4 linked regions of the Pelodiscus sinensis genome follow. The protein of the gene in region 1 interacts with the protein of each later gene in a pairwise test. Links are inferred from orthologs where the notes say so. Each region holds a gene or a part of one and is shown in the gene's direction. Other genes may lie near its edges. The genes, in order: TFIP11, FAM13C, NFU1 and KANSL1.

The links.
Region 2: the proteins of TFIP11 (region 1) and FAM13C interact in binary tests that used the Homo sapiens proteins (3 or more experiments, as listed by UniProt). The two-hybrid records come from large-scale screens. The link is inferred for Pelodiscus sinensis from reciprocal best matches to the Homo sapiens genes TFIP11 and FAM13C.
Region 3: the proteins of TFIP11 (region 1) and NFU1 interact in binary tests that used the Homo sapiens proteins (3 or more experiments, as listed by UniProt). The two-hybrid records come from large-scale screens. The link is inferred for Pelodiscus sinensis from reciprocal best matches to the Homo sapiens genes TFIP11 and NFU1.
Region 4: the proteins of TFIP11 (region 1) and KANSL1 interact in binary tests that used the Homo sapiens proteins (3 or more experiments, as listed by UniProt). The two-hybrid records come from large-scale screens. The link is inferred for Pelodiscus sinensis from reciprocal best matches to the Homo sapiens genes TFIP11 and KANSL1.

Annotation. Positions count from the first base shown.
Region 1 is NC_134725.1:39,273,710-39,280,595, reverse strand, and holds the start of TFIP11 (tuftelin-interacting protein 11), read left to right. Parts: upstream 1-3,873; 5' UTR 3,874-4,206; coding exon 4,207-4,538; intron 4,539-5,248; coding exon 5,249-5,402; intron 5,403-6,069; coding exon 6,070-6,226; intron 6,227-6,886. UniProt on the Homo sapiens protein: Involved in pre-mRNA splicing, specifically in spliceosome disassembly during late-stage splicing events. Intron turnover seems to proceed through reactions in two lariat-intron associated complexes termed Intron Large (IL) and Intron Small (IS).
Region 2 is NC_134718.1:21,958,209-21,965,050, reverse strand, and holds the start of FAM13C (protein FAM13C), read left to right. Parts: upstream 1-3,820; 5' UTR 3,821-3,898; coding exon 3,899-3,924; intron 3,925-6,842.
Region 3 is NC_134738.1:1,379,999-1,386,831, reverse strand, and holds the start of NFU1 (NFU1 iron-sulfur cluster scaffold homolog, mitochondrial), read left to right. Parts: upstream 1-3,817; 5' UTR 3,818-3,922; coding exon 3,923-3,969; intron 3,970-6,772; coding exon 6,773-6,833. UniProt on the Homo sapiens protein: Iron-sulfur cluster scaffold protein which can assemble [4Fe-4S] clusters and deliver them to target proteins.
Region 4 is NC_134739.1:6,915,743-6,923,328, forward strand, and holds the start of KANSL1 (KAT8 regulatory NSL complex subunit 1), read left to right. Parts: upstream 1-4,580; 5' UTR 4,581-4,905; intron 4,906-5,783; 5' UTR 5,784-5,926; intron 5,927-7,586. UniProt on the Homo sapiens protein: Non-catalytic component of the NSL histone acetyltransferase complex, a multiprotein complex that mediates histone H4 acetylation at 'Lys-5'- and 'Lys-8' (H4K5ac and H4K8ac) at transcription start sites and promotes transcription initiation.

The DNA of each region.
Region 1 (6,886 bases):
GCGCCGGCCGAACCCCCCCCCCCGTGTCACCGCCTCGCGCCGGCCGAACCCCCCCCCCCGTGTCACCGCCTCGCGCCGGCCGAACCCCCCCCCCCGTGTCAGCGCCTCGCGCCGGCCGAACCCCCCCCCCGTGTCAGCGCCTCGCGCCGGCCCAACCCCCCCCCGTGTCAGCGCCTCGCGCCGGCCGAACCCCCCCCCCGTGTCACCGCCTCGCGCCGGCCGAACCCCCCCCCCCCGTGTCACCGCCTCGCGCCGGCCGAACCCCCCCCCCGTGTCAGCGCCTCGCGCCGGCCGAACCCCCCCCCCGTGTCAGCGCCTCGCGCCGGCCCAACCCCCCCCCCGTGTCAGCGCCTCGCGCCGGCCCAACCCCCCCCCCGTGTCACTGCCTCGCGCCGGCCGAACCCCCCCCCCGTATCACCGCCTCGCGCCGGCCCAACCCCCCCCCCGTATCACCGCCTCGCGCCGGCCGAGCCCCCCCCGTGTCACCGCCTCGCGCCGGCCGAACCCCCCCCCCGTGTCACCGCCTCGCGCCGGCCGAACCCCCCCCCGTGTCACCGCCTCGCGCCGGCCGAACCCCCCCCGTGTCACCGCCTCGCGCCGGCCGAACCCCCCCCCCGTGTCACCGCCTCGCGCCGGCCGAACCCCCCCCCCCCGTGTCACCGCCTCGCGCCGGCCGAACCCCCCCCCCGTGTCACCGCCTCGCGCCGGCCCAACCCCCCCGTGTCAGCGCCTCGCGCCGGCCCAACCCCCCCCCCGTGTCACCGCCTCGCGCCGGCCCAACCCCCCCCCGTGACACCGCCTCGCGCCGGCCCAACCCCCCCCCGTGTCACCGCCTCGCGCCGGCCCAACCCCCCCCGTGTCACCGCCTCGCGCCGGCCCAACCCCCCCCCCGTGTCACCGCCTCGCGCCGGCCCAACCCCCCCCCCGTGTCACCGCCTCGCGCCGGCCCAACCCCCCCCCCGTGTCAGCGCCTCGCGCCGGCCGAACCCCCCCCCGTGTCAGCGCCTCGCGCCGGCCGAACCCCCCCCCGTGTCAGCGCCTCGCGCCGGCCGAACCCCCCCCCCGTGTCAGCGCCTCGCGCCGGCCGAACCCCCCCCCGTGTCAGCGCCTCGCGCCGGCCCAACCCCCCCCCCGTGTCAGCGCCTCGCGCCGGCCCAACCCCCCCCCCCGTGTCACCGCCTCGCGCCGGCCAAACCCCCCCCCCCGTGTCACCGCCTCGCGCCGGCCAAACCCCCCCCGTGTCACCGCCTCGCGCCGGCCGAACCCCCCCCCCCGTGTCACCGCCTCGCGCCGGCCGAACCCCCCCCCCGTATCACTGCCTCGCGCCGGCCGAACCCCCCCCCGTGTCACCGCCTCGCGCCGGCCGAACCTCCCCCGTGTCACCGCCTCGCGCCGGCCGAACCCCCCCCCCCGTGTCACCGCCTCGCGCCGGCCGAACCCCCCCCGTGTCACCGCCTCGCGCCGGCCGAACCCCCCCCCGTGTCACCGCCTCGCGCCGGCCGAACCCCCCCCACCGTATCACCGCCTCGCGCCGGCCGAACCCCCCCCCCGTGTCACCGCCTCGCGCCGGCCGAACCCCCCCCCCGTGTCACCGCCTCGCGCCGGCCGAACCCCCCCCCGTGTCACCGCCTCGCGCCGGCCCAACCCCCCCGTGTCAGCGCCTCGCGCCGGCCCAACCCCCCCCCCGTGTCACCGCCTCGCGCCGGCCCAACCCCCCCCCGTGACACCGCCTCGCGCCGTCCTAACCCCCCCCCGTGTCACCGCCTCGCGCCGGCCCAACCCCCCCCCGTGTCACCCGCCTCGCGCCGGCCCAACCCCCCCCCCCCCGTGTCACCGCCTCGCGCCGGCCCAACCCCCCCCCCCGTGTCACCGCCTCGCGCCGGCCCAACCCCCCCCCCCGTGTCAGCGCCTCGCGCCGGCCGAACCCCCCCCCGTGTCAGCGCCTCGCGCCGGCCGAACCCCCCCCCCGTGTCAGCGCCTCGCGCCGGCCGAACCCCCCCCCCGTGTCAGCGCCTCGCGCCGGCCGAACCCCCCCCCGTGTCAGCGCCTCGCGCCGGCCGAACCCCCCCCCCCCGTGTCAGCGCCTCGCGCCGGCCGAACCCCCCCCCGTGTCAGCGCCTCGCGCCGGCCGAACCCCCCCCCCCCGTGTCAGCGCCTCGCGCCGGCCGAACCCCCCCCCCGTGTGAGCGCCTCGCGCCGGCCGAACTCCCCCCCCCCGTGTCAGCGCCTCGCGCCGGCCGAACCCCCCCCCCGTGTCACCGCCTCGCGCCGGCCGAACCCCCCCCCCGTGTCACCGCCTCGCGCCGGCCGAACCCCCCCCCCGTGTCAGCGCCTCGCGCCGGCCGAAACCCCCCCCCCGTGTCAGCGCCTCGCGCCGGCCGAACCCCCCCCCCCGTGTCAGCGCCTCGCGCCGGCCGAACCCCCCCCCCCCGTGTCAGCGCCTCGCGCCGGCCCAACCCCCCCCCCGTGTCACCGCCTCGCGCCGGCCAAACCCCCCCCCGTGTCACTGCCTCGCGCCGGCCAAACCCCCCCCGTGTCACCGCCTCGCGCCGGCCGAACCCCCCCCCGTGTCACTGCCTCGCGCCGGCCGAACCCCCCCCCCGTATCACTGCCTCGCGCCGGCCGAACCCCCCCCCGTGTCACCGCCTCGCGCCGGCCGAACCCCCCCCCCCGTGTCACCGCCTCGCGCCGGCCGAACCCCCCCCCCCGTGTCACCGCCTCGCGCCGGCCGAACCCCCCCCCCCGGTGTCACCCGCCTCGCGCCGGCCGAACCCCCCCCCCCCGTGTCACCGCCTCGCGCCGGCCGAACCCCCCCCCCGTGTCACCGCCTCGCGCCGGCCGAACCCCCCCCCCGTGTCACCGCCTCGCGCCGGCCGAACCCCCCCCCCGTGTCAGTGCCTCGCGCCGGCCGAACCCCCCCCCCGTGTCACCGCCTCGCGCCGGCCGAACCCCCCCCCGTGTCACCGCCTCGCGCCGGCCCAACCCCCCCGTGTCAGCGCCTCGCGCCGGCCCAACCCCCCCCCCGTGTCAGCGCCTCGCGCCGTCCTAACCCCCCCCCCGTGTCACCGCCTCGCGCCGGCCCAACCCCCCCCCGTGTCACCGCCTCGCGCCGGCCCAACCCCCCCCCGTGTCACCGCCTCGCGCCGGCCCAACCCCCCCCCCCGTGTCAGCGCCTCGCGCCGGCCAAACCCCCCCCCCCGTGTCAGCGCCTCGCGCCGGCCAAACCCCCCCCGTGTCAGCGCCTCGCGCCGGCCAAACCCCCCCCGTGTCAGCGCCTCGCGCCGGCCAAACCCCCCCCCCCCGTGTCAGCGCCTCGCGCCGGCCAAACCCCCCCCCCCCCGTGTCAGCGCCTCGCGCCGGCCAAACCCCCACCCCCCGTGTCACCGCCTCACGCCGGCCAAACCCCCCCCCCGTGTCACCGCCTCGCGCCGGCCTAACCTCCCCCCCCGTGTCACCGCCTCGCGCCGGCCGAACCCCCCCCCGTGTCACCGCCTCGCGCCGGCCCAACCCCCCCCCGTGTCACCGCCTCGCGCCGGCCGAACCCCCCCCCCGTGTCACCGCCTCGCGCCGGCCGAACCCCCCCCCCCCGTGTCACCGCCTCGCGCCGGCCGAACCCCCCCCCCCCCCGTGTCACCGCCTCGCGCCGGCCGAACCCCCCCCCCCCCGTGTCAGCGCCTCGCGCCGGCCCAACCCCCCCCCCCGTGTCACCGCCTCGCGCCGGCCCAACATCCCCCCCCCCCGTGTCAGCACCTCGCGGCGGCCGAACCCCGCCCCCCCGTGTCAGCGCCTCGCGCCCCCCCCGTGTCAGCGCCTCACGCCGGCCGAACCCCCCCTCGTGTCAGCCCCTCGCGCCGGCCGAACCCCCCCCCCCTTTCTCCATGTCACTGCCTTGTACCGTATGATTTCTCCACCCCAGTGTCACCTCCTTGCTTTGTCCAAGCTTCCTCCCTCCAGGTCACCAGCTAAGTACTCTTCACCCTGTTTTGGGCTTGCACTCACTGATTCATCCCCCCCACCATTCTTCCTGTCACTGCCTTATGCCAGCTGAGACCTCTCCCTCTCTCTCTCCCTCCCCCCATTTTGCTGCCTTGCCCTGGTGTGTCATGGCTGCCTGTGCTTTGTCTCACTTGCTCCTGTGTGCTACTGGCTGTGCCATGTCATCCCCTTCACACCTTGGTCCTTGTGTCACCCACCACCTCACTAGCCATGCCTCCTGCTCTCCTTACCTTCACACCCATCCCATGTCACCCTCTTGCACTGTCTATGCCCCCTACTTTTGTTGCCAGCCCTCTCTGGATCCACCCCCTGACCAGCTGCTTGCTCCAACTCTCCCAGGCCATCATGTCAATGTCCCATCTCTATGGCAAAGATGACGACGACGACGTGGAGATGGAGAACTTTGAAATCACAGACTGGGACCTGCAGAATGAGTTCAACCCCAACCGCCAGCGCCACTGGCAGACAAAGGAGGAGGCCACCTATGGCGTGTGGGCTGAGCATGACTCGGATGATGAGAGGCCCAGCTTTGGAGGCAAACGGTACAGGCAGTTACCAGTGTCTTGCAAACTCTGGCAGTACTGTGAACAGCAAGAATCTTCTGTTAGTGGTTAGCATAGCCGATAAGCTAAAATAATAGTCCAAAGGAGATATCAGTTCCTTTATGTAGCACTATTGGATTTTTCACTTTCTGGAGGTTTTCTTTTCTCTGTCCATTTGCAAAGAACTACTGGGGAGATGCCTTTATACATTCTATAGAATATTTGATTATGTAAGTTTTTCTGACACTAACTCAGTCACTTGATGTATAGTGCTAGCTTCAAAAGGCTTAGTCTCTTGGAAACACTTTGTGCTACTGTGGCCAATTTGAGATTGTAATGGCTTTGAAAGGTATCTGTGGGAGCAGTGAGGGGTTACTATTTAGTTCAGCATGTTATCAAATAGATTGAATTTTTCATGTATAGTTTGGTTCCGAGATTCATTTCCTTATTGCCAAGTTCATGAAGAAGATCAACATTGTGCTAAGTTACAACTCATTAGAGAGTCTTGCATGCACATGCAAAACCAACACTTTCTATGACTGAAATACAAAAGTTTGAATTTAACAGCTTTTAAATGTTATTTCTTAACATTGCGTTTATTTTGGGACCAGTAATGATTGCATTAAGGTGTCTGAGTGTATGCATTTCAAGTTCAAATTCAATGGAACAGTGGAACAATAGCATGACTCTGAAATCCCTTTTTTGTGTAGCTCTCGTGACTATTCCGCCCCCGTTAACTTCATCAGTGCGGGGCTAAGGAAAGCTGCAGCTGAGGAAGTGATAGAAGAAGATTCAGATGAAGATGAGAAGCCCATTAAGCAAGAAGAACTCCCTAAAGAGTTTGTACCAAAGAAGTTAAAAACAGTGAGTTACTCATGAAAGTTTGAAACTTATAACAATTATTTATGGAGTGCCAACCACAGTATGGTCTAGATACTGCTTTAGTAACACATCAGCTGAGAAGGGAGGACAGTGGCTGAGTAAGATCACAGAACTGTTTGTGACACTGGTTTGCCGTGGGGGGAAAGAATATCCCTTGGCTTTTCTTTATGTGTTTTCATGGATTGTGTTAGGTTCTCGGGAGCTCATCTTTTCCCCAGGCCTCTTAAGCCTCTTCTCTTCATTGATAATCATTTTGAGTTGAATGAAGTTGAAGTAAATTAATGACCCAGTTTTGCTTCCACCCATCAATGATAAATATTTTTGTAATTATTTCTTTTTACAGTACTGAATGTGGCTGGCATGAGCAAATTGCCAATTAAATGGATTAAGAATCAAAACCCATTTTTCAACTGTTGAAAAGCAAAATATCAGGAACCAACTTGTATCTGCTCATGATAGTGTGTTATAGATCAGACCATAATAGGAGCAGGGCTACAAATCCCCAACTCTAGCAGTGGCTTGGGGGTGCTCTGACAGAGCAGCGCAGACTGCAGGCTGGTGGGGCTCCTCAGAGGAGATCCCCTCTTGAGGCAGCCAGGAGCTTGGTGATTATATCACTTACCTGTTGTTTTTTCTTTTCTCTGAACAGGGTGGCAATTTCAAACCCAGCCAGAAAGGATTTGTAGGTGGGACCAAATCTTTCATGGACTTTGGCAGCTGGGAGAGACACACCAAAGGAATAGGGCAGAAGCTTCTTCAGAAAATGGGTTATGTTCCTGGTAGAGGGCTTGGAAAGAATGCTCAAGGTACTGTGTGTTTTCCCCAAGAGTGTGGGTCCAAGATGGGGATTCTTTAAGGAAACTGCAACCTTGAGACACTGAATAACTTGGTTTTGTTTTCCCACCTCTTCTTCAGCCAATTCAGATCTTCAAGATTAAATCCAATTATATTAGTTTTAAATAATTACAGCAGTAATTAGAATGAAATTGTGAAGTCTACTACCCATGTCAGTCTCTGATTATTTAGTATGAGGAGACAGAAGGAGGAAGATTAAATTAACTCACTGTCAGGGTGGTTAAATACTGGATTAAATTTCTTACGGAGGTTGTGGAATCTCCATCACCAAAGGTATTTAAGAGTAGGATAAATAGGCATCTGTCAGGGACAATTTAGATGGTGTTTGGTCCTGTCATGAGGGCAGGGGACTGGATTTTATAACCTCTTGAGATCCATTCCAATTTTAGCATTCTATGATTAAAAGACAGTCAACTTGTAACCAAAGGAAATGCTATTTTGTGCAGTGTATTGCTGAGCTATAGAATTCATTGGAGTCGGAGGTCAGAGGAACATGCTATAACAGGATTTTTAAAAGTACCTGAATATATTAGGGCCACATATAAAAATGTGTAACTGTACAAAATCCTATCACTGCTGAAGACAGAATGCCAGACTGGATGATCTGTGCT
Region 2 (6,842 bases), on another chromosome or scaffold:
TAATCATTTCTCGAACTTGTCCAAGTTTTTCTCGTGGGCTACATCTAGACTGGCCCCTTCTCCAGAAGAGGCATGCAAAGCAGGCAAGTCAGAATAGGGAAATCCGCGGGGGATTTAAATATCCCCCAAGGGATTTAAATAAACATGGCCACCGCTTTTTTTCCGGCTTGGGGAAAAGCCGGAAAAGAGCGTCTAGACTGGCACGATCCTCCGGAATAAAGCCCTTTTCCGGAGGATCTCTTATTCCTACTTGCAAGGAATGTTTATTTAAATCCCTCGGGGGATATTTAAATCCCCCGCGGATTTCCCTATTCTGACTTGCCTGCTTTGCATGCCTCTTCCGGAGAAGGAGCCAGTCTAGACGTAGCCAAGGTGTGTTTCCTAGACTGGACATAATACTCGAGTTAAGGCCTTGAATAGAGTGAAAAAAATACTTTTTATATCTTGCTTACAAACAGTTCTGCATCCCAGAACAGTGTGAGCTTTTTTTTGGCACATTGTTATTTTGTTGACTTATATTTACTTTGTGATCCACTAGAATCCCCAGGTTCTGCAGTACGTTTTTCTGGACAGTCATTTGCATTTGTATTTGTCTAATTGATTATTCCTTCTCAAGTGTAGTACTTTACATTTATCCTTATTGAATGTCATCCTATTTATTTCAGACCATTTCTCCAGTTTATCAGGATCAGTGTTTCTCAACCAGTGGTACGGGTACCCTTAGAGGTACTCAAGAGAAGTCGGGGGAGGAGAGGGGGCGGAGGGATACATGAAAACAACTGAAATTTTGAGAAAACTGAATTTTTGTTTTAAGTTGTACAGCACTTTATTATTTTTGTACTTTTTATTCCCAAAAATTTCATCGCCTGCCCAGCTACAATTAAGTGGTATAAACAAATGTGTTGCAATGGTGGAAAAAAAATTGTGTGTGTCTGAAAACTGTAGGTATTGGGGGTATTTATTTATGATTTATTTTGTAAAAAGGGTACTTTATAAAAAAAAAGGTTGAGAAACATTGGTCAAGATCATTTTGAATTATAATCCCATCTTTGAAAACATTTGCAACCCCTACCAGCTTGGTATCCTCCAGAAAGTTTGAACACATACTTTTTATGCCACTATCTGAATCATTTCTGAAGATATTGCATACAATTGGACCCAAGACAGATCACTATCAGAGCACACTTGATATGCCCTTCCAGCTTGACTGTGAACCATTGATAATTGCTCTCTGCGTATCGTTTTCCAACCAGTTGTGCACCCACTTTATAGCATGTCTTCTCTTCTGTGTATTTATTAATGTGGCTCTGTTTTAAACAAAACAATGCCAAATTATTTTTACAGTACTGCTTTTGGCATGGAGAGTCTGTCCAGAAACAGTGACTAAAAGTATCATCAGCCAAAAAAAAAAATGAAATTAAGCATGCAAATGAGTCATAAACAAATGAAAAATAGAAAGTGATTTAATCATAGGCGTTTGACATTAACATTAACATGATTAATTTAAACAGTTTGATGGTGCCTTTCAAGACATGGATTTTCCCCCTCCTAATTCCTGTGAATACTATGCTTCTTGGCTACATCTACACTGGCCCCTAATTCCGGAAAAGTCATGCAAAGCAGGTAAGTCAGAATAGGGAAATCCGCGAGGGATTTAAATATCCCCCGCGGATTTAAATAAACATGTCCGCCACTTTTTTTCCGGCTTGGGGAAAAGCCGGAAAAAAGCATCTAGACTGGCGCGATCCTCCGGAATAAAGCCCTTTTCCGGAGGATCTCTTATTCCTACTTTCAAGTAGGAGGGATACTTTCAAGTAGGAATAAGAGATCCTCCGGAAAAGGGCTTTATTCCGGAGGATCGCGCCAGTCTAGATGCTTTTTTCCGGCTTTTCCCAAAGCCGGAAAAAAAGCGGCGGACATGTTTATTTAAATCCCTTGGGGGATATTTAAATCCCCCGCGGATTTCCCTATTCTGACTTACCTGCTTTGCATGACTTTCCGGAATTAGGGGCCAGTGTAGACGTAGCCCTTGTGAATATTGCTCAGAGCTCCATATTAAGGCCAAATTCTACCCTAAATAGTAGCATTTTATTTCAGTGGATTTACAGAGATTGTGAAGTAGCCAGCAATCATCCTCATGCGTGTGTAAGAATGCAGAGGTTATTCTTACCAGACCATTCTGTGCTCATTCTCTCAAGTTATAAGACATTTTCAGCATGTATGAGAAGTACTTTGATCTGATTTTTCAGCTCACCCAAGGCTTTTCTCTTATTGATGCAACATGGTGTCCATTAAGTAATGGCTCCCCTATTGAATTATGGTTCAAATACCAGCAGTACTGTCAGCACCAAGGCAAAAATCAAGAGTCAAGCCTCCAAACACCAACAGATTAGCCTGAGAATTGGGATTATTTATTTTAAATTAGATTTTTAAAATATTGCATTTTATTTTTTTTATTTGCCTTTTGCGACTCAGTTTGGCATCTTACAGCACTAGCTTAAGGACACAGTTGCTTCACATTTTCAAACTTTTCTCTAGAAACAAGTGGCCTAGAAACCAACTTTAAAAAAATTAAAGCTGAGACCCTTTTGCAACTCCTTAATTCCAATATCTGGGGTCCTTAAGAAAACATCCAAATGCCATGAGCCTTGTGATTTAATCATGAGTCATAACACTTTAGTGATTAGTCATCGAAGGCCATGTCTGCATTGTAGACTTCAGTCAACACAAGTTATAGTGACATATAGCCCCAGTTAGTTTATCACTTGAGCTCACGCATACTTGGTTCCTTGAACTGGCACTATGTACTCTCCAAGCCCTGGTCTACACTAGCGCTTTATTTCAAAATAACACCCCCTTCTGTTGAATTTATAAATGGACCATCCACCCTACCAAGCCTGTAATTTCAAAAATTGTGTTATTGCTTATTTCAAAGTCTGCAGTCCTGCTTTCCTCAGGAATAATGCTAATTTCAAAATAGTTATTTCAAAATAGTGGTAGTGTGAACACTCTGGTGCCACTATTTTGAAATAACTACTCCCCAGGGTAATTCAAACTAATTACTCGCCAGTGGTTCCTGGGCTCCAAGTCAAGGTAGTATGTCCTCATTAATGGTGCCTGCCTCAGACTAATTTTGAGGCTTCTCTGTAGTGGAGACAAGCTATTTTGATTTTGTAAAATTTGGAGTTAAGTTGAATTTAGTTATTTAAAAATAGTTTCTTAGTGTACACATGTCCCAAGAGTGCTTGTGTCGATGCAGAGCAGATACAATGGTAAGTATTCCCATGTGCAAGCTGCCAGCTCACTGTCTTTTAGGAATTTTTGGTAATGCCTAGGGATGGATATGAGGAGGGGGAAGAAATGAACCATGAGAAGTGATTGGGAGTAAGCAGTCAACTTTCCAGCATGCAGTTGTACCCATCCTATAATGTCAGTTCTATTACATAATTTTAAAAAAATCCTAGGAACCCCCTTGCTATCTGCCATCAGTACTAGAAACATCTAGCCTGAACATCTTTGCCCTACTGTGGAAAAAGTTGCAAACACAGAATGCATAATCCTCCATTATTTGCAGTGCAGTAGGAAGAACAGAATCACCAGGGAACATGCTGATTTCTTGGAGTCCAGATTGCTGTGGGATGTAGTGACCAATTCAAGGTTATTGGTTGAGTGCATGGAACAGCTACAGATGATGGAGTACAGGTTCTGGAACTAAAAAATGAGCATTGATTGGTTGGATTGCATCATAATGCCGATTTGGGGTGACATGTAATAGCTATGGAACTTCTGGGTGCAGAGTCCACATTCCTGCAGCTGCGCAGTAGATCGAAGTTATCTGGATGTCAATAAGATATTTGATACAGTTCCACATGGGATATGATGAGTTAAATGAAAGAAAATGGGGATTAGTATGAAAATTGAAAGGTGGATAAGGAACTAGTTGAATGGGAGACTACAAAGGGTCATACTAAAAAAAGTGAAATGTCAGGCTAATGGAGTTCCTCAGGTCTCTATCTTGGGACAGGTCTTATTTAACATTTTCATTAATGATCTTGGTGTGAATGTGCACTAATAACATTTTCAGATGATACAATGTTATAGCTAGTATGATATAGTCAAGATCATGAAAATTGGAATTACATTTAATGATGTGTGTGAGGTCATGCACTTAGGTACTTATGACAAGAATTTTTGCTATAAACTTTTTTTTGCTATAAATTTTTGCTATTCCTACTTTCAAGTAGGAATAAGGGATCTTCCGGAAAAGGGCTTATTTTCCGGAAAATCGCGTCTACACTGGCTCTTTTCTCCGGCAAAAACCCCAAGCTGGAAAAAAGCAGCAGCCATAGAAATGCAAATGCCGCGGGGTATATTTAAATCCCCCGCGGATTTGCAATTCCGAAGTGTCTCAATAGCATCCCTTTTCCGGAAAGGGATGCCAATGTACACATAGCCCTAGTGAAATAGTTCTTCCTAATATCCAACCTGGACCTCTCCCACCACACCTTGAGACCATTGCTCCTTGTTCTGCCATCTTTTACTACTAGAACAGCCTTTCTCCATCATCTTTGGAACCTCCCTTCAGGAAGTTGAAGGCTGCTATCAAATCCCCCCTCACTCTTCACTTCTGTAGACTAAACAGACCCAAGTCCCTCAGCCTCTCCTCATAAGTCATATGCTCCAGCCCCCTAATCATTTTGGTTTCCCTCCGCTGGACCCTCTCCAATGCATCCACATTCTTTTTGTAGTGGGGGGCCCAGAAATGGACACAATACTCCAGATATGGCCTCACCAGAGCGGAATAAAGGGGAATAATGACATCTTTGGATATGCTGGCAATGCTCCTCTGAATGCAACTTAATATGCCATTAGCCTTCTTGGCTACAAGGGCACACTGTTGACTCATATCCAGCTTCTCATCCACTATAACCCCCAGGTCCTTTTCTGCAGAACTACTACTTAGCTGGTTGGTCCCAGCCTGTAACAATGCTTGGGATTCTTCTGTCCCAAGTGCAGGACTCTGTGCTTGTCCTTGTTGAACCTCATCAGATTTCTTGTGGCCCAATCCTCCAATTTGTCTAAGTCACTCTGGACCCTATCTCTCCCCCTAGCTTAGTGTCATCTGCAAACTTGCTGAGGGTGCAATCCATCCCCTCATCCAACTCATTAATAAAGATATTGAACAAAACCGGTCCTAGAACCAAACCTTGAGGCACTCCTGTAGAAACCGACCGCCATCCTGACATTGAGCCGTTGATCACTACCCACTGGGCCCGGCCTTCTAGCCAGCTTTCTATCCATCTTACCATCCATTTCTCCAATCCACATTCCCTTAACTTGCTGGCAAGAATATTGTGGGAGACCGTATCAAAAGCCTTGCTAAAGTCAAGATATATCACATCCACTGTGGACTTTCCCTTGTCCACAGAGCCAGTTACCTCATCATAGAAGCTAATCAGATTGGTCAGTAACAGTAGTTCGAATTAGGATCTTTAATTCGAACTACCTACTCCGTGCTGCGGGCACGGAGTTCGGACTAAGGGGGATTTAAAAATGACGGCGCCCGGGAACATGCAAATGAAGCCCGGGATATTTAAATCCCAGGCTTCATTTGCCACTCCGCTTGCTTAATTACCCTACCTAGCTCGAACTATCGAGCTAGTGTGGACGTAACCTCGGCGACATCACCTGCACAACCACCGGTCAAAGGGTGATGTCCTGGAATAGCCTTCTATGGGGAGCAGTGGGTTCACAAAGCCTAACTGGTTTCAAAGCTGCATCTGGGAAGTATGGAGAGGGGATGGTGTGATGAGATTGCCTGTAATGTCACATGGACTATCTGCAACTGCTGGTAGCAGATATCTCCCCAGTAGCCCGAGATGGGACACTAGACAGTGAAGCTCTGAGTTTATGAAGAGGATTCCTTTCCAGGTGTCTGGCTGCTGGGTCTCACCTCTACCCTCAAAGTCTAATTAATCACTTTGTATAAGGTCAGGAAGGAATTTTCACCCAGGTCAGATTAGAAGGGACCCTAGGTTTAATTTGCCTTCCTCCGGCACTGAGGCATGGGTCACTACTACTTTGAGCTGGTGTAAATAGTTGATTTTCTGTCATTTGAAGTCTTTAGAGCATTTTTTGAGGACTTCAGTAACTCAGCTAGAGGTCAGGCATTTATGGGTATGTCTACACTGCAGAGTTTTTTTGGAAAAACTTCACTTACGTCCATGCTGCAATCACATTCTTAAAAAAAATCAAAAGAACAGAGGGGTTTTTCCAACAAGAGCTCTTTTGGAAAAAGGCATGTGTGGATGAGGAAGAGAGAGTTCTTTTGAAAGAAGAGGAAAGAGGAAAAAATTTAAGTGTCCTGGTGGCCGCTCCATTGATAGTAATCACAGTTGAAATGTGGGATATAGTCCATTCAGTCTGGACACTCTCTTTCACTTTTTCGATGCGCTTTTGCGGTGTAGACGCTCTCTTTCAGAGGAATTTTTTCCGAAAGATCTCTTCCAGAAAAGCTTCTTCTGAAAGAAGCCTGCAATCTAGACAAAGCCTATGACAGGAGTGGGTGGGTGAGATTCTGTTGCCTGTGACATGCCAAATGTCAGATGAGATGATCACAATGGTTCCTTCTTCAAGTTTGAATCTACAGAACAGTATGCATAGTGTGAGTGAGCTCAGGAGAGACAAGAATAAGAGACAATGTCAATGTTGTCTGAGGGGAGGGGTATTCTAACTGCCTTGTCGTGGTGTGACTTTAGATTCACGCTAAGGATGCTTGAACTCTGCTCTTACACCATTCTAGCACAGGCTGCTTCAGTGGATAGGATGCCCCGCCTCCGAAT
Region 3 (6,833 bases), on another chromosome or scaffold:
CCTGACTGTGGGTGATGTTCCTTGATAGAACTCACAATGCAACTAGGCAGTTTCAGTATTTTGGATATCAATAGGCTCCATTACTGGAATTGGTCTGAGGAAGACTAAATTTGGGGGTGAGCAGCATCTGGAGCAGAGATTTCCCATCAGGCAGTACTTCTCTGCTTTCGGTATCCCATAGTTCAGTGTGGTTCTTGCTTTGGAAGAGCTGGTCTGTACTCTGCATGCTAATGGAGATTTCTCTCTGTTCTATCTTCAATGCAGATGAGGCTGGGGTGTTTCCTTAATCCTATCACCCTTGTCTTGAGGGGTGAAGGTGTGTCTTCCCCTGTCTTTTCATTGCTTTGTCTTTGATTCAAGGACAGGCCTGGGGGAGGGGAATGTTTTCCCTGATTGTCACTCCCTGGTTCCCCAAGAACACAGAGCTGGTAGGTAACAATGGGCAAATGGAACTCTCTCCCTTGAAAGAAAGTCTGATGGGCAAAACATATTGGGTGCGTCTAGACTGGCAAGATTTTGCGCAAAAGCGGCCTCTTTTGCGCAAAAACTTGACAGCTGTTTACACTGGCCGCTTGAATTTGCGCAAGAGCACTGACTTTGTAATGTACAAAATCAGTGCTGCTTGCACAAATACTTTCACGCTCACACTCAGGAAAAATCCCTCTTGTGCAAGAAGACTTGCGCAAGAGGGCCAGTGTAGACAGAGAAGAACTGTTTTGCGTAAAATAGCCCCGACGGCTAAAATGGCAATCGGGGCTTTCTTGCGCAAATCGCGTCTAGACTGGCCACGGATGCTTTTGCACAAAAGCACGTTTTGCGCAAAAGCATCTTTGCCAATTTAGACGCGCTTTTGCAGAAATCCTTTTAACGGAAAAACTTTTCAGTTAAAAGTATTTCCGCAAAATCATGCCAGTCTGGATGCAGCCATTGATTTTTATGCCACTGAATTGCTGCTTTCTTCTCAACAATCTGAAATTGGAAAAACAGATGTGACCAACCTCACTCTAACTGCTATTCAGTTCTCAGGTGGCAGTGATACGGTATCTTTATAGGAGGCCAAGTTTTAGGGTAATTCCCTTTGAATTAATCACAGGTTTATAGAATACTAGCTGGAGTCACCCAGCGTTGCTCAGGAAACCAGAGGAACAAAATGTAGAAAAACAGTAGTCCATTATCTTTTTTGAATGGTAGAAAATTTGCATTGATTTCTATAGGGATTAAAATATAGGTCCACATCAGCCCGGAGGTGCGACCGCGGGTGGAAGGGAGGTTACACGTGCGAGGGGCGCCCCAGCTTGCACCCGGGGCTGCAGGTGCTGGGGGGGGGGGGGGCAGGGCAGGTGCCCAAGCCATCGTGCACGTGAGGGTTGGGGAACTGCCTGCTGGCTCAAAGGTGGGGAGGGGGAACAAGGGTCGCTTACGTAACCTCGCAGGCAGGAAGGGGCAAGTCCTGGATGGTGCTGGGAGCCGCAGGCGGCGGGCACAGGACCTAGGGTGGGTGGGGCAGCGCCTGCAGCACAGCACGGCAGGTTACTTTTTGATTTTTACAGCTTGAGCTCGGGCCTGCTCGGGTCCAAAAGTACCTTGAAACCTTCTTCTGGATGAAAGGTTCTCCCATGCAAAGTTTGGTTGCAGTAGCTCTTGTAGTGTCCAAGCTGTTAGTGCACAAACTTACATTCTCTTTTATACATTAGATGTGCTGATCTTGGTGAGATTATTTAGGATTCAAATGCTCCCCCTGAATGACTTTCTTCCTTATTCAGCAGCATAGCTGTACACCATGCTTCCCAGTAGGTGACATCTGCACAGCAGAGAACCTCTGTGTCAAAGGCTGTGTAATGTAAATGAATGAGTTAGTGCAATACAGTATTTTCAGACCAAATAAGTCTCTAGCAAACTAGCTGGAAGAGAGTCTAGTTAGCCAAATTCTTCATCAGATTTGTGCAACACTTCTATTCAGATGAGCTACCTGCCCCTTTGTAATCTGAGCAGTTAGCCAAAATTCAGAGCCCTGCAGATTGTTTCCATTAGGAGAAGAAATTAATGACGGAATCCGGTAACTCTGTGTTTCTGTTTATTTACAAAGAGTGTACAAAGTTCTGTTCGCCAGAACTCAAAAGGAATCAAACAGTGGGAGGCAGTTTCTTCACTAGTAGAGCCAATCCTCTTTCAGCCAGCACTCAGCCCAAAAATCCTCTCTGTCACTGTTTGTGTAGGCCTATGCTTCCTTGCTGCCTTCCTGCAGGCGTCTTTCGGAATAAGCTTTTTTTGGAAGAGATCTTCCAGAAAACCTTCCTCCAAAAGAGTGTCCACATTGAAAAAGCAATCTTCTTTTTTGAAAGATAGCGTCCATTCAGTGTGGACGCTATCTCACATTTCAGCTGTGATTACTTTGGACAGAGTGGCCACCTGGGCATCTGTGTTTTTTTCTTTTTCCTCTTCTTTCAAAAGAACTCCCTCTTTCCCATCCACACATGCCTTTTTCTGAAAGAGCTCTTTCAGAAAAAAGGCTTCTTCCTTGTAGAATGAGGATTGCTAATGTTGGAAAAAACCCTCTGTTCTTTTGATTTTATTTCAGAAGAACACGATTGCAGTGGGGACGTAATTGAAGTTTTTTGGAAAAATTACAATTTTTTCTGAAAAAAACCCTCTGTAGTGTAGACATACCCAAAGTCTCTGTTCTTTCTGCGGTTTCATGCACACAGCTCTTCACAGAACAAGTAAGCCCCAAACACCTTGGTGTTGACAGCTGTTGTCATTTTTCTTAGACGGGAGGTCTGTGCTGGTGGGCAAAGATTGTATTTTTGATTGTGGAGCTCAATGGGAGTGAGTTCTGCACTGCATATGCTCAGGCAGGTAACTGTTTTTATCTGTGTTTAAGTGATGACTCTGAAATACAGAGGTGAAGAACTGCACTTTTTACAATGGCTGCTGATCATATTGAGACAAAATATGTTGTCAAGCACAAGGGCTAGATCTCTCAAACCAACACTGCATTTGACCTCCCCTCAGCACAGCAGGACCCCTGTTCCTAGTTAGGTTCTGTGGCTAGTATTGTAACAGAAATAATGAATACCCTGGTCAGCACGAGTTGGGATTTGGTTCTTTCAAAGCCTAAGATTGTGGGAGGATGGGACTACCTAAATTCACAGTTTTAATTACAAAATACAGTAAATTTCAAACTCTCACCTCACCAGGGCTGGCAAAGTATAAAGTAAAAAAGAAAAACTAGAAGGCAAATAAAAGCAGCTGCATAGTATTTTTGTATTTTTTTGAAATCTCACTATTTTTCAGTTCCAACATTATGATTTTGCGGGGGGGGGGGGCAAAGGGCTGGATTTTGAACACTTAATGTTGGAAATATTGCAAATAACAGTTTTGCACCCTGAACAGTAAAGGTTTTGTTCCAAGCTGTTACCTCAGCATATACAATCCTGCTAGTTTGTGACAGGCGGAGGTCTCGCAACACGTAGGTAGCTTGGTGCTGCCTGTGGGGGTGGGCAGAGGTCGGGTTTTTGCAGAGGGTATGGGGGGAGGGTGTGCCATTTCAGAGCTGCAAGTAAAAGCGGGATGAGCCCGAGGCCATGCAGCAGCACAAGGAAGGCCAGGGCAGGTCCCAGGGGCACTGTGGGGCCCCTCACTCCATGGCCTGCTGGGGTCTCTTCCGACCCTGCTCTATGCAATGGGCTGGACCGATGCGGCTCCCCCAGGCCCCTGCCCCAAATCCCATCCCCGTCTCCGCCGCTAGGGCGGGCCACGCGCCCCGGGTCCCCAGCGCAGCGCTCGCTGCACTTCCCCGCCGCGGCCACGAGGGGCCGCCCCAGCGCCTGCGCCTCCTTCCCAAACCAGGCGCCTGCGCAGGCAGCCCCGCGACTGGGGGGGGGGGGGGGTTCTCAGCCTCAGTCGCTGCGGGGCATCCAAGATGGCGGCGGGCCGCTGGCTGCGAGCGGCGGCGGGGCTGAGCGGCCGGTAGGTGACCCCGGCCCAGGCGCGCGCTCGCCTCAGCGAAGCCCCGCCCTGCGGGGCGGCGAGCTCCTCTTCCCGGGGGGGGGGGGGGTACGGGGGGGCAGGTGGTTAAGTCCCCTTCTCCCTCCCCCCCCCGCGGGCACGGGGGGGCAGATTAACTCCCCTCACTCCCCCTCCCCAGGTCGCGCAGGGGGCGGGGTTAACGTCCCCTCCCCCGCAGGCTGGGCACGGGGGGCGTCAGGGATTAACCCCCCAGGCCGGGTGGGGGCTGACCCCGCTCTCCCCCGGGGGGGGTTGGCAGTTAACCCCCCCCCCCCCGTGCAGCGCGAAGGCGGGAGACTCGCTCGCCCCAAGGGCTCCTCTGGCCTCACAAGCAAATTCCTGCGAGCTGCCCCGCCTGCCACGAGGCGCTTTGTTCTTTGTACCTCCTGGTGCTGAGGAGCCTGGGGGGCCGGGACCCTGCGGTGCGAGGCGAGGTGCCCTTGTCTGCTGGGTGGGGGAGGGACATGGGGCTCGGTTCTCTTGTCAGTTCCTCCAGCACAGGCAGAGAGGAAGGATGCATCGGGGAGGAAGGTGAAACCATAAGCAGCTGGATGTAGTTGTCTACTCACCCGACTTTGTGCTTGTGAGCCATGAGCATTGCTAAAACTGGGGGCGGTTGCCACCCACCCTTAATATTAAATCCTAAAGTACCTTAAAGACATCTGGGATTCCCTCATCATTCATGCTCTTCCCCATTGTATGGGGAAAGGGATGCAACAGGTCACCTTATGCTTCCGACCTTGGGCTATGTCTACACTGCAGGCTTTTTGCACAAGAACATATGTTCTGTGTGCGTGTTCTTGCACAAGTAAATTTACAGTAAAGCATCAGAAAATAGGGCTTCTTGTGCAAGTGTTATTCCTCTCCCCATGAAGAATAAACTCTCTTGTGCAAGAGCAATTGCTCAAGAAGGCAGTGTGGATGGGCAACAGGGTTTTTTTTTTGCTCAAGAAACCCCTATGAATAAACTGGCCATCAGAGCTTTCTTGTGCAAGAGAGCATCCGCACTGCCATGGACGCTCTTGCACTAAAGCACATGGCACTGTGAATGCGCTCTTGCGCAAGAATTTTTGGGCAGAAACTCCTGCACAAAATAGTTCGTGCGCAAAAAGCCTGCAGTGAAAACGTAGCTGTGATGTATAGTGCTCTGTTTGAGTGAGACACCTAATGAGAATGAACTGTGGGCTGCTGCACTAAGCACTGGGTTTATACGTTCCCAAGTGAACTATCCCAGAAAATCTGAATAGGCAGCAACTTCTACATTTCTGCAATAAGAAAAGTTTTAAAAGGACTGTTACACTCACATTTCTCCCAATTGCTTACATTTTGTATTCAAATGTCTGCAACGACTGTTAAGATTCTGAAAGCAAAATTGACTATAAATGTGGGACTAATTTCATTATTTTCATTGTCTAAACCAGTAGGGAGTGAAGCAAAGACTAAGCTGTATAAAGAAATATAGATTAGATCTTAAAATATTTTTGCTGTCATTATTGAACGTGTTTATTAGTAACAATAAACATGACTATCAATATAGATAAGTATGACATTGCAGATCATTGGAAGTTAGAAGTCTTAGCTTAGATTTTCAAATTATGGATATTTTCATTAAGGATATTAAGATGCAGATGATTCATGTAGTAAATACAATTTGTATCAACTACAATCCATGATTAGTCATAAGGGAAGGCACTCTGTCCCACCTTGCGCCAGGTCCAGGAGCTACCCCCTGCAGTTTAAATGTACTAGGAGCTGGCTGCAAACACAGACACCCCACTGGAACCTCACCACGAACAGAGGCAACAGAGGCTGCTTCATAGACTGTAGAGCAGCCTCTGCTCACAGTGAGCCTGCTTCATTGTAGCCTCCCCAATCCCCCTGCCTGGCAGCAGCACGTGGGCGGTGGGGGAATGACTGGCAGCACAATGGAGACAGTGCTAGGTGGAAACAGCTTTTAAGCCAGTTCCCCCCAATACCATCTCCTGTTTTTCCTCGCTTGCTGCCTCTGATACAGGCAGCAAGTGGAGGGGGGAATGTGAGTGGTCGACTCAACTACCTGATAAACCTAGGTTTATCGGGTAATCGACTACTTGACTGGTCGCTTTCATCCCTAATTTTTATGCCAAGTTTGTGCATGTGATTATAGTGGCAGTGCACAAAATAGGAATTTGCATATAAAAATGAACAGTTGTATGGGTAAAAAAACAAGGACACACATAACAATGGTAATCAGATGTGCAGATATGCAATTCAACAGTTTGAAAATCAGTTTAATTCAGCTTTCCATCTCTTCAGGTTTGTCCTTTCCAGTATATTCTTCACCATTTTCTTCACTTAAGATCTGTGCGTCTCAACAGATGGTTGGTGTAGTTTACCTGACCAGCAAAGACAAGAATTTTTTGTTATAGCTTATCTCCAGGGACTGGATATGAATATCTCTATTGGTACCTTGCTTCTTGAATTAGTACATGTAGCCAGTGAAGCTGCTGTCCTTTCTCCACAGCAGTCCACCACTCGCCACTGGTGAATTTTAAATCAAAATGTTTGCTGTGTGATGATCACTTGGCCACTTAGAAATCTAGGGAGCAGGAATTGAAACCCCATTTTCCCTTTTCCCCCAACATCTAGTTGAGAGGAGGGGAAAATAAGACTGTGGCTGACAGTCTGTGTTACCTGATCTCCTCCTTAAGGTGAAATCTAGCGATATTAAATGTGTGAAATTTTCAATTGAGATGATGTTGGTAAAATCTGTGTCTTTCTTTAGGTTCTCTTGCATGACATTAAAAGACTTTAACTTGACAACTAAACAGCCTCTCTGCCATTTC
Region 4 (7,586 bases), on another chromosome or scaffold:
TCTGGCTCTTTAGGAAGTTCATTATCACGCTCCTCATACTTTTAATATCTTAAAAGAGGGGAAGACACAGAAAGCCATGTAACATCAAGACAAAGAAAAAAGATGTCTAAAGTCAAGTACATTTTCCTTAAAATTTTCCAATATAGGTGTGATTTGGAGTGAGGAGTCCCACATTTCCCTTTTAGATTAAAATGTTTCCTCAGATTAAAATTCCTCATGTTTGAAGACGCTACTAGTCAAGAATAAAACTAGGAGAAAGTGCAGAAATTGTTTATTGAACTTACAAGAAGAAATTAATAATAAAAAAACAAAAACAAAGGTCATGCTTAATTCATTATCATCCTGCCTCTGGGAACGTCCATATTTTCTTCCTCTCGGCACAGGTTCAGAAGAGTAATTGTATGGATTCTAGCCTTTAGTTTATATCTCCATGGAGCTTGTATAGGTGGGTGAGATTTAGATCTTCTGTATTAAGGGCCCCAAGGATTTTGCCAAAGCCACCTTTGGACACCTTTGTCAGATGTTCTTTCCTACAGTATTAAAAATCAACACACTTGGAGCAGTTCTTAAAAAATTGTTTTGTAACAGCCATCTTCTTTTAAGATGCCTACACTGATGTAATCTACTTATTTGCTAGAGCTATAGTGTGCAATGTGATGCTCTGAAGACACCTGTGACTCCCACCCTGGAAAGCTGATGACTAGTTTTTCACACAAACAAATGATCACAGAGTTCCATGAATGAACTCCATGGATTGGGGTTGTCCACTCTATGGGTGAAATCTTGACCTCACTGAAGTTAGTGGGAGTTTTGCCATTGATTTAAGTGGGTCCAGGGTTTCCCCTTATACTTCAAATAGTCCAGTGATTCTGATCTCCTTAGAGGGACAGAACAGCACCAGTGTAATAGAATTCAGAGCAGTCTGAAAAATCCTGTCTACTGTGGATTCAAATCAACACATCCTTATTATGCTTATTATGATATACATAGAACAGTTCTGGCCTACTTCAACAAGCTGGAGTGTACCTAGTCCTCATGTCTCCACAGGAAAACTACTCCTACTCACTATGGCAAAGAATAATCTCTACTCAAGGAAGAATGGTTTTGCACAGAATCTAATTCAAATCCATACAGCTGAACTTAGTCACCCTTTTTAAAGATATCTAGAAGGTAAAAGTTGCTTTGTTACATGATTGCCACACTGCACTATCTTGACTTTTGGGGTTCCATCATTGCAAAGAGATCAGTGGATGCCCAAACCTTCTTCTGTGTTGCAGTCCAGTGGTGCTTCTGGCACAGCTCACCTTTCCTCAATTTAAAATGTTAAAAACATGACTCTTTTAGATGTGATCAAGCGGATAGAGCATGGAGCTAAAAACGAGGAACTGAGATCTAGTTCTACCATCAGCTCAGCTTGGATAAATCACTTATCCTTTCTTTGCTTCAGTTTCCCCAAATGGGGATATTTATACCTATCTCATAGCAGGGTCATGAGGTTTAACTCATTAACCCTGCTAATAGTTGAACAGTGCTTACAAAATGTAGAGTACTGAGTAATATTATTTAATCACTCTCAGGCCCTGGGTTAGACTCTTTCTACCATAATGCATGCTATAATAATTTGTCCATTTCTATGCAAAGAATATTAAGCATAAACAGAACTCAACATTGCACTGTGAAGTGCCTAAAATAAATCCGATTACTTAACAATTTAGCATTTTTAGTCTTACATTTCAGGAAGGGCTTCATACTTTAAAATGGTTGGCCTTCTTTGTCTTCTGATCCTGGGAGGGGAGGTAACAACTACTGGAAATGTAAAGACTTCTTGAAAGCTGAAAGTTTATCAGCTCAGTATGTGACTTATGCCTCAACTGAAAAATCTCTGAATAGAACTTACAACAGACCCACTTCACATGCGCTGAGAAACCAGCTTTTCATATCTGGGTTTCCCGGACATGGATTCTTGCTGAAATTGCCACAGCAGCAGTAACCACTCTTACTCCACTGACAATGAAAAAATGTACAATATAACAGGAAAAATTAAATAATGGTCTTGCCTTCTCTAGGAAAAAAAAGAGATGTGTGTTCTAATACTTGTTAGCATCCTGGTGTTGATGTAGCAAGCTGTAATTTTAACATGTAAGCAGGTCAAAGCAATCCCTAGGAAAAAGTCTATCAGGCTAATGAGTTAAAACTGCAAATTGTCTTGTCTGCATTAGGATTTTAACATGTTAAAAACCAGGAGCAGAAGTAACTTCCTAATTAAATATGTGCACTATACTGGACTTAATTGCTGAGGTGGCACGTACCACCTGCAGCTACACCTGGTGCCCTGGCACTGGAACTGTAATCCTGGCAGGTTGAGGAAGGAAGGCCCTTGTGGTTGTGGTTAGAGTTTCCTGGAAAACAAGCAAGCTGGCTCCATGCCCACACTACAGCAATGGCAGTGCTATGGGCATTGCTGTCACATCACCACTCAGGTTTCAGCTACTCTTGGTTTACGAGGCAGTGGGGTGTGATCATTGGAAAAAGATTATATCTGGGCCTCCAATGTGTGACAGATATGTTAGTGGACCATCCTTGTGGGGCTTTTGCACTTAACCTATTAACAATTGCCCTGTCTCAGCTAGTAGTTTGTTCAGGGGGACATGAAGCAAAATGCAGGACAATGTAGCACTTTAAAGACTAACAAGATGGTTTATTAGATGATGAGCTTTCGTGGGCCAGACCCACTTCCTCAGATCAAATAGTGGAAGAAAATAGTCACAACCATATATACCAAAGGATACAATTAAAAAAATGAACAAATATGAAAAGGACAAATCACATTGCAGAACAGGAGGGGGATGCGGGGGGGGGGGGGGAAGAAAGGAAGGTAAGTGTCTGTGAATTGATGATATTAGAGGTAGGGAGAGTGGGATGTTTGTGAGTTAATGGTATTAGAGGTGATAATTGGGGAAACTGTCTTGGTAATGGGTGAGATAGTTCAAATGTTTGTTAAGTCCTTGTTGGCAAGTGTCGAATTTTAACATGAATGACAGTTCAGAGGATTCCCTTTCAAGTGCAGATGTAAAAGGTCTTTGTAGCAGAATGCAGGTGGTCAAGTCATTGAGAGAGTGTCCTTTCTGGTTAAAATGGCAAGAAACTGTTTTCTCTTTGTGATCTTGTCTGATATCTGTTTTGTGGGCATTAATCCTTTGGCGAAGTGTCTGAGATGTTTGTCCAATGTACATAGCAGACGGACACTTTCGGCACATGATAGCATAGATTTCTATCACTATTCAGGGGGACAGTCTTTGGGAGAACTGCTAATAGATTGTGTGCCCACAACAGGAAAAGCAACTTTTGTTTTTCTTCTAAAACCAGCAGGGATATGATATTCAGGGATACCTTCACTGCAGGAATCCTCCTGCTTTTCCCTCTCCCTCTTTGGTGAGTTTCCTAGCTCAGAGCGGCGTGCTGCGACGTGACAGGCGCGCCCCAGCTTTTCCTTCCCCCTGTAGGCCCAGATGTGGTGTGATGGCATGTGCGGGTGTGTGTCAAAGCCTCTCTCAGCTTGGAGGCTGCAGAGGTCTTTTTGTGGTCCAGAGTGGTCCCCGTGCCCCTCAGAAGCAGAGATGCTGAGTGCAACAGGATGCCCTCTTTCTCACCATCCCTCTCCCTGACTCCCCCTGCCCATTTCACACAGTCTCCCCATTCCCAGGCTGTGTAGTTTGCCCCTTATCTCATTCAAGCATGAGGGTGAGTGAGTGGGGGGGGGGGGACTGATCCAGTGGATGGGCCCTGCCTGGCAGCCACATGCAGCCCTCCCCTTCCCTTAAACATCTCCGGGAAACACAAGCAGAGGCAGGGACAAGCCGAGACACCCGCATCAATCACCCCTCCCGCCCCGCCCCCTGACGCTGACAGACACCCCCTCCTCCAACCACACCGGCCCAGGCCCTCCCCACAGCCAATGAGAGGGGAGGAGGGAGGAAGATCCCCACTTCAAGGCTGGTTGAGCTGTGCAGGTAGGTGCTGGGATGTGGGAGCAGAGGCTGGAGCTGGTGCAATCGGGGGAGGAAAAAGGGGGAGCTGTGGAGGGCTGGGCGGGGGGGCACCTGGCCAGGGCAGGCCGAGGGGCTGCGGGGCAAGGCAGCGGGGGGGCTGTAGCCTTGCAAAGGCATGTTGCCGGGGAGAGGGAGCGTGTGGCTGGCAGAGGGACCGATCACCCCCTATGGTGCTGCCATAGACAACAGGCCAAGTAGTGCTAGGAGCCCCCGTCCTGCAACTTTGCACGAGGAGTCACTGGGGCTGGGGGCGAGGGTGGTGAGGGGAGGGTCAGAACTTTATTGGATCGGGCCGTGGAGTCGCCTGCCCTGCAGTGAGCACAGCCCCCTGTGACTCTTCCATGCAAGCAGAGAGGAGCGATTGCTCAGAGCTAATTCACCAGGCCAAGGCGGGGGGCGGGGGAAGAAGGAGGAATGGTTCTTGCACAGCCAGAAAGTGAGTTTGGGGGGGCGGTGGGGGACGGAGAGGTCGGGGGAGAGCAGGAACTTTGCAGCTAGACGTGAAACGCAAATAGACGGGGTGGGGGGGGGATCTGCAGCTGCTCAGTCACACACCACATTGGGGGGGGATATTTTGTGGCATTTTGCAACAATGGTGATGGCTAAACGAGCAGGCCAAATGCTGGGAGCTGCTGGGGCATCGGGCAGGGGGCATCCGCAGAGGGGGCCGGGAATGAGCTCTAACCTGGGCCAGCCGCATGCTGGGAGACACCCGGATCGTCTCCTCGCAGAGCGGATACACTGGAGGGGGCTCGGGGTGAGCGTCGTAATTTGGAGAGGGCTTCCAGTGCCTGCGCAAGGACACTTTATAACTCCCGAGCTGCAGCGAGATTGAGCCGTGGCTTGGAGTTTTCAGGCGAGTCATCGGTTGTGGCTTCTCAGGCGTTTGGGTTTTGTTTGTTTACTTGTGTTAAGGGAAACAAAATGACCACAGACATGCACGATCCCCAAGGCATGGACAGGAGCAAAAGAAGGCGAGGAGAGGCACTGGCACTAACATGGCAAAGGCGTCACAGAAGCAAACATGGCAAAGAGCCTGTAAAGACTTTAGCTATTCAGTTTTAGGAAATGGGATAGAAAATATTCTTAGATGTCTTCTATTTGTCCAGTCCTCCATTTTACCCAAACATTGAAAAAAATGGCATATTTGATACTCCCAAGGTGGGTTTTAGAATGATTTAAAACAAACAAAATCCTGGCAGAAATAACTCTATGACTTTTTTTTGTTATTGTAAATTATTCCCTTCCCCAGCCCCCAAAGACCTGATCCTGGAAAATAAATGTATTTCAGTGGGTGGCAGGCATTCATAAATGTGGCATAAAATTAAGTGATTGTGTAATTTCTCATGGAGGTGATTTCTTAAAAGAGAATTTTCATGAGAGCCTAAGGGAGTTAGGTGCTTAAATCCCAATCCTTTTTTTACATTCCTTTCATCTCTTTAACTGAATTATTTAATCTATATAGTGTGCAGATTTTTGTCTGCACTTTCCAACTATTTTGTCCTCCAGGAGTTTACAGAGGTGTGTCTATTTTTCCAGTTATTGTGATTCTTTACATAGTTTGTTTTGTGTGTTTGCTATATATTGTGCTTTTTTGGGTGAAGTTGGTGATAAAATGTCTACTTTCTAAATCCTGATTTTTTTTTTCTTAAGGCTAGTTGTATCATATATGTTTTGTTTGCAAGTTATATTTCTTTCCCTTGATTCTTTTTTTATTGTTGTTTTTTGTTATAGACAAAAGATTTCCACTTCTTGAAATCAGAAAGATTTGCGGAATTTGGTTGGATTTGGAAAGATTACAAGTCCTTCAGAACTCCATCCTGAGTCTTTTCTGAATTGCTCCAGACACTATGGATTTTATTAAGATGTCCTGCAAGGTAGGAACTTCTAGTTCTTCATTTTTAAACTGGTACCTTGTTTACAAACTTTTGTTCAATACAAAAATGCCTGAATTATGAAAAGCACCATGATAGTTGAGGTCTTTGTTTAGAATTCTGATGGTACCATTTATTCTCAGGAGAGGTTTAAAATCCAGGACCTCTTTAACACTTTCGTGAAACATAATTAACCAAAAAAGGAACTCCAGGAATACAGCTCAATACTGAAAGTGAACTTTTTAGGTTTGGGCTCTCTCTGAGGAAGAAAATTGGTGGTGTAAAATTGGAAAAAATACAATTAATTTCTGGAATTTTTATTTTTTTAAATATATATGAAACTTATTTTGAATTTGTATATGTATTTTAAGTGTGAATATAATATTAAAAAACCTATTCATTTATACTAATAACTATAATTTTAGGTGAGTATTTCAGGATCATTCAGCATGGTACCAGAAATGCTTTATCAGCTTTTGACACTGTCTCCTGATGTAGTGTACTTGGGAGGTCACTGTATGTTGTAAACAGGAGCGGCCCTAGACGAGCTGCCAGCAACTGGCGCCTTAGGCGAAACGTGCAATCGGCACCCCTGCCTCCAAAGCCCTCAACGGCCATTTATCTTGGCGCCCTAGGCGACTGCCTAGTACGCCTGTATTGACGGGCCGCCACTGGTTGTAAACTAGAAGTTGGGTAGTTCCTACTGAAAATGTGGGACCCAAGTAACTTCCTTAATATTTTAATCATTCACAGAATTGTTAGAAATTATTTTCCAGGGTGTAAATCAATTCAATCTGAAAGACTTTCTGGTCCTCTTTGTCAGGTTATCTGGAGATTTCCAAATGCATTAGAATTGTCACAGTAGCTCTATCCTGTCAGCGCCACTCTGACTGTATGAAGCTATAACCTGCTACTACCAACCGTATTGGTTTTTTTTGTGTGTGTTTTGTAAACACTTGATAGGGCTTGATGAGGTCAACACTTTATACAGAAGACAGAATATTGTGAGTACATTTGAAACATTTTAGAAATTATGAAGAAAAGGAGCACATTTACTGAGTCCCATCTAGTATATTTTAATGCAGTCCCCATCACTCCAGTTAGTGCAGGACAGATCCTCAAGGTATTTTGTCTAATACTTTGTCCAGCCTACTTTTAATTGACTCATTGAATAGAGCATTCACAGCTTCAGTCTGTCTAATCTCACCATTAAGAAACACTTTCTGATATTCTACTTCCCCCTCCCTTTTAGATTCATTCTACTGGTCCAAGGTTCCATTTTTGAATAACCCCCAAATAATGTATCTTTTCTTGTTGTGTACACCCCTGAAATGCTTGTATATGGCTGCCATATTCTCTTTGCTCTGTTTACGTGGATCCTAGTATTGTTACACGTGCTTATAATTTTGCATGCATCTGTCAGCATGGTTTAGTGTACTCAGCATTGGCATAGGAAATCTTCTAGTTACTATTTGTGGTGGATAAGTTATTTCAACTCTCTGTGCCTTGTTTTTTCCATCTCTAAAATTAGGATAATATTGATATGCCTGAACAAGGAGTTGAGGATTAGCTGATGTAGGTACGCTGATTTTGGGAGAAGCATTATATAAGTAGTAGTGATTATTACAATGTAGAATTGTATAGATTTGGCCAAGCTGTATGC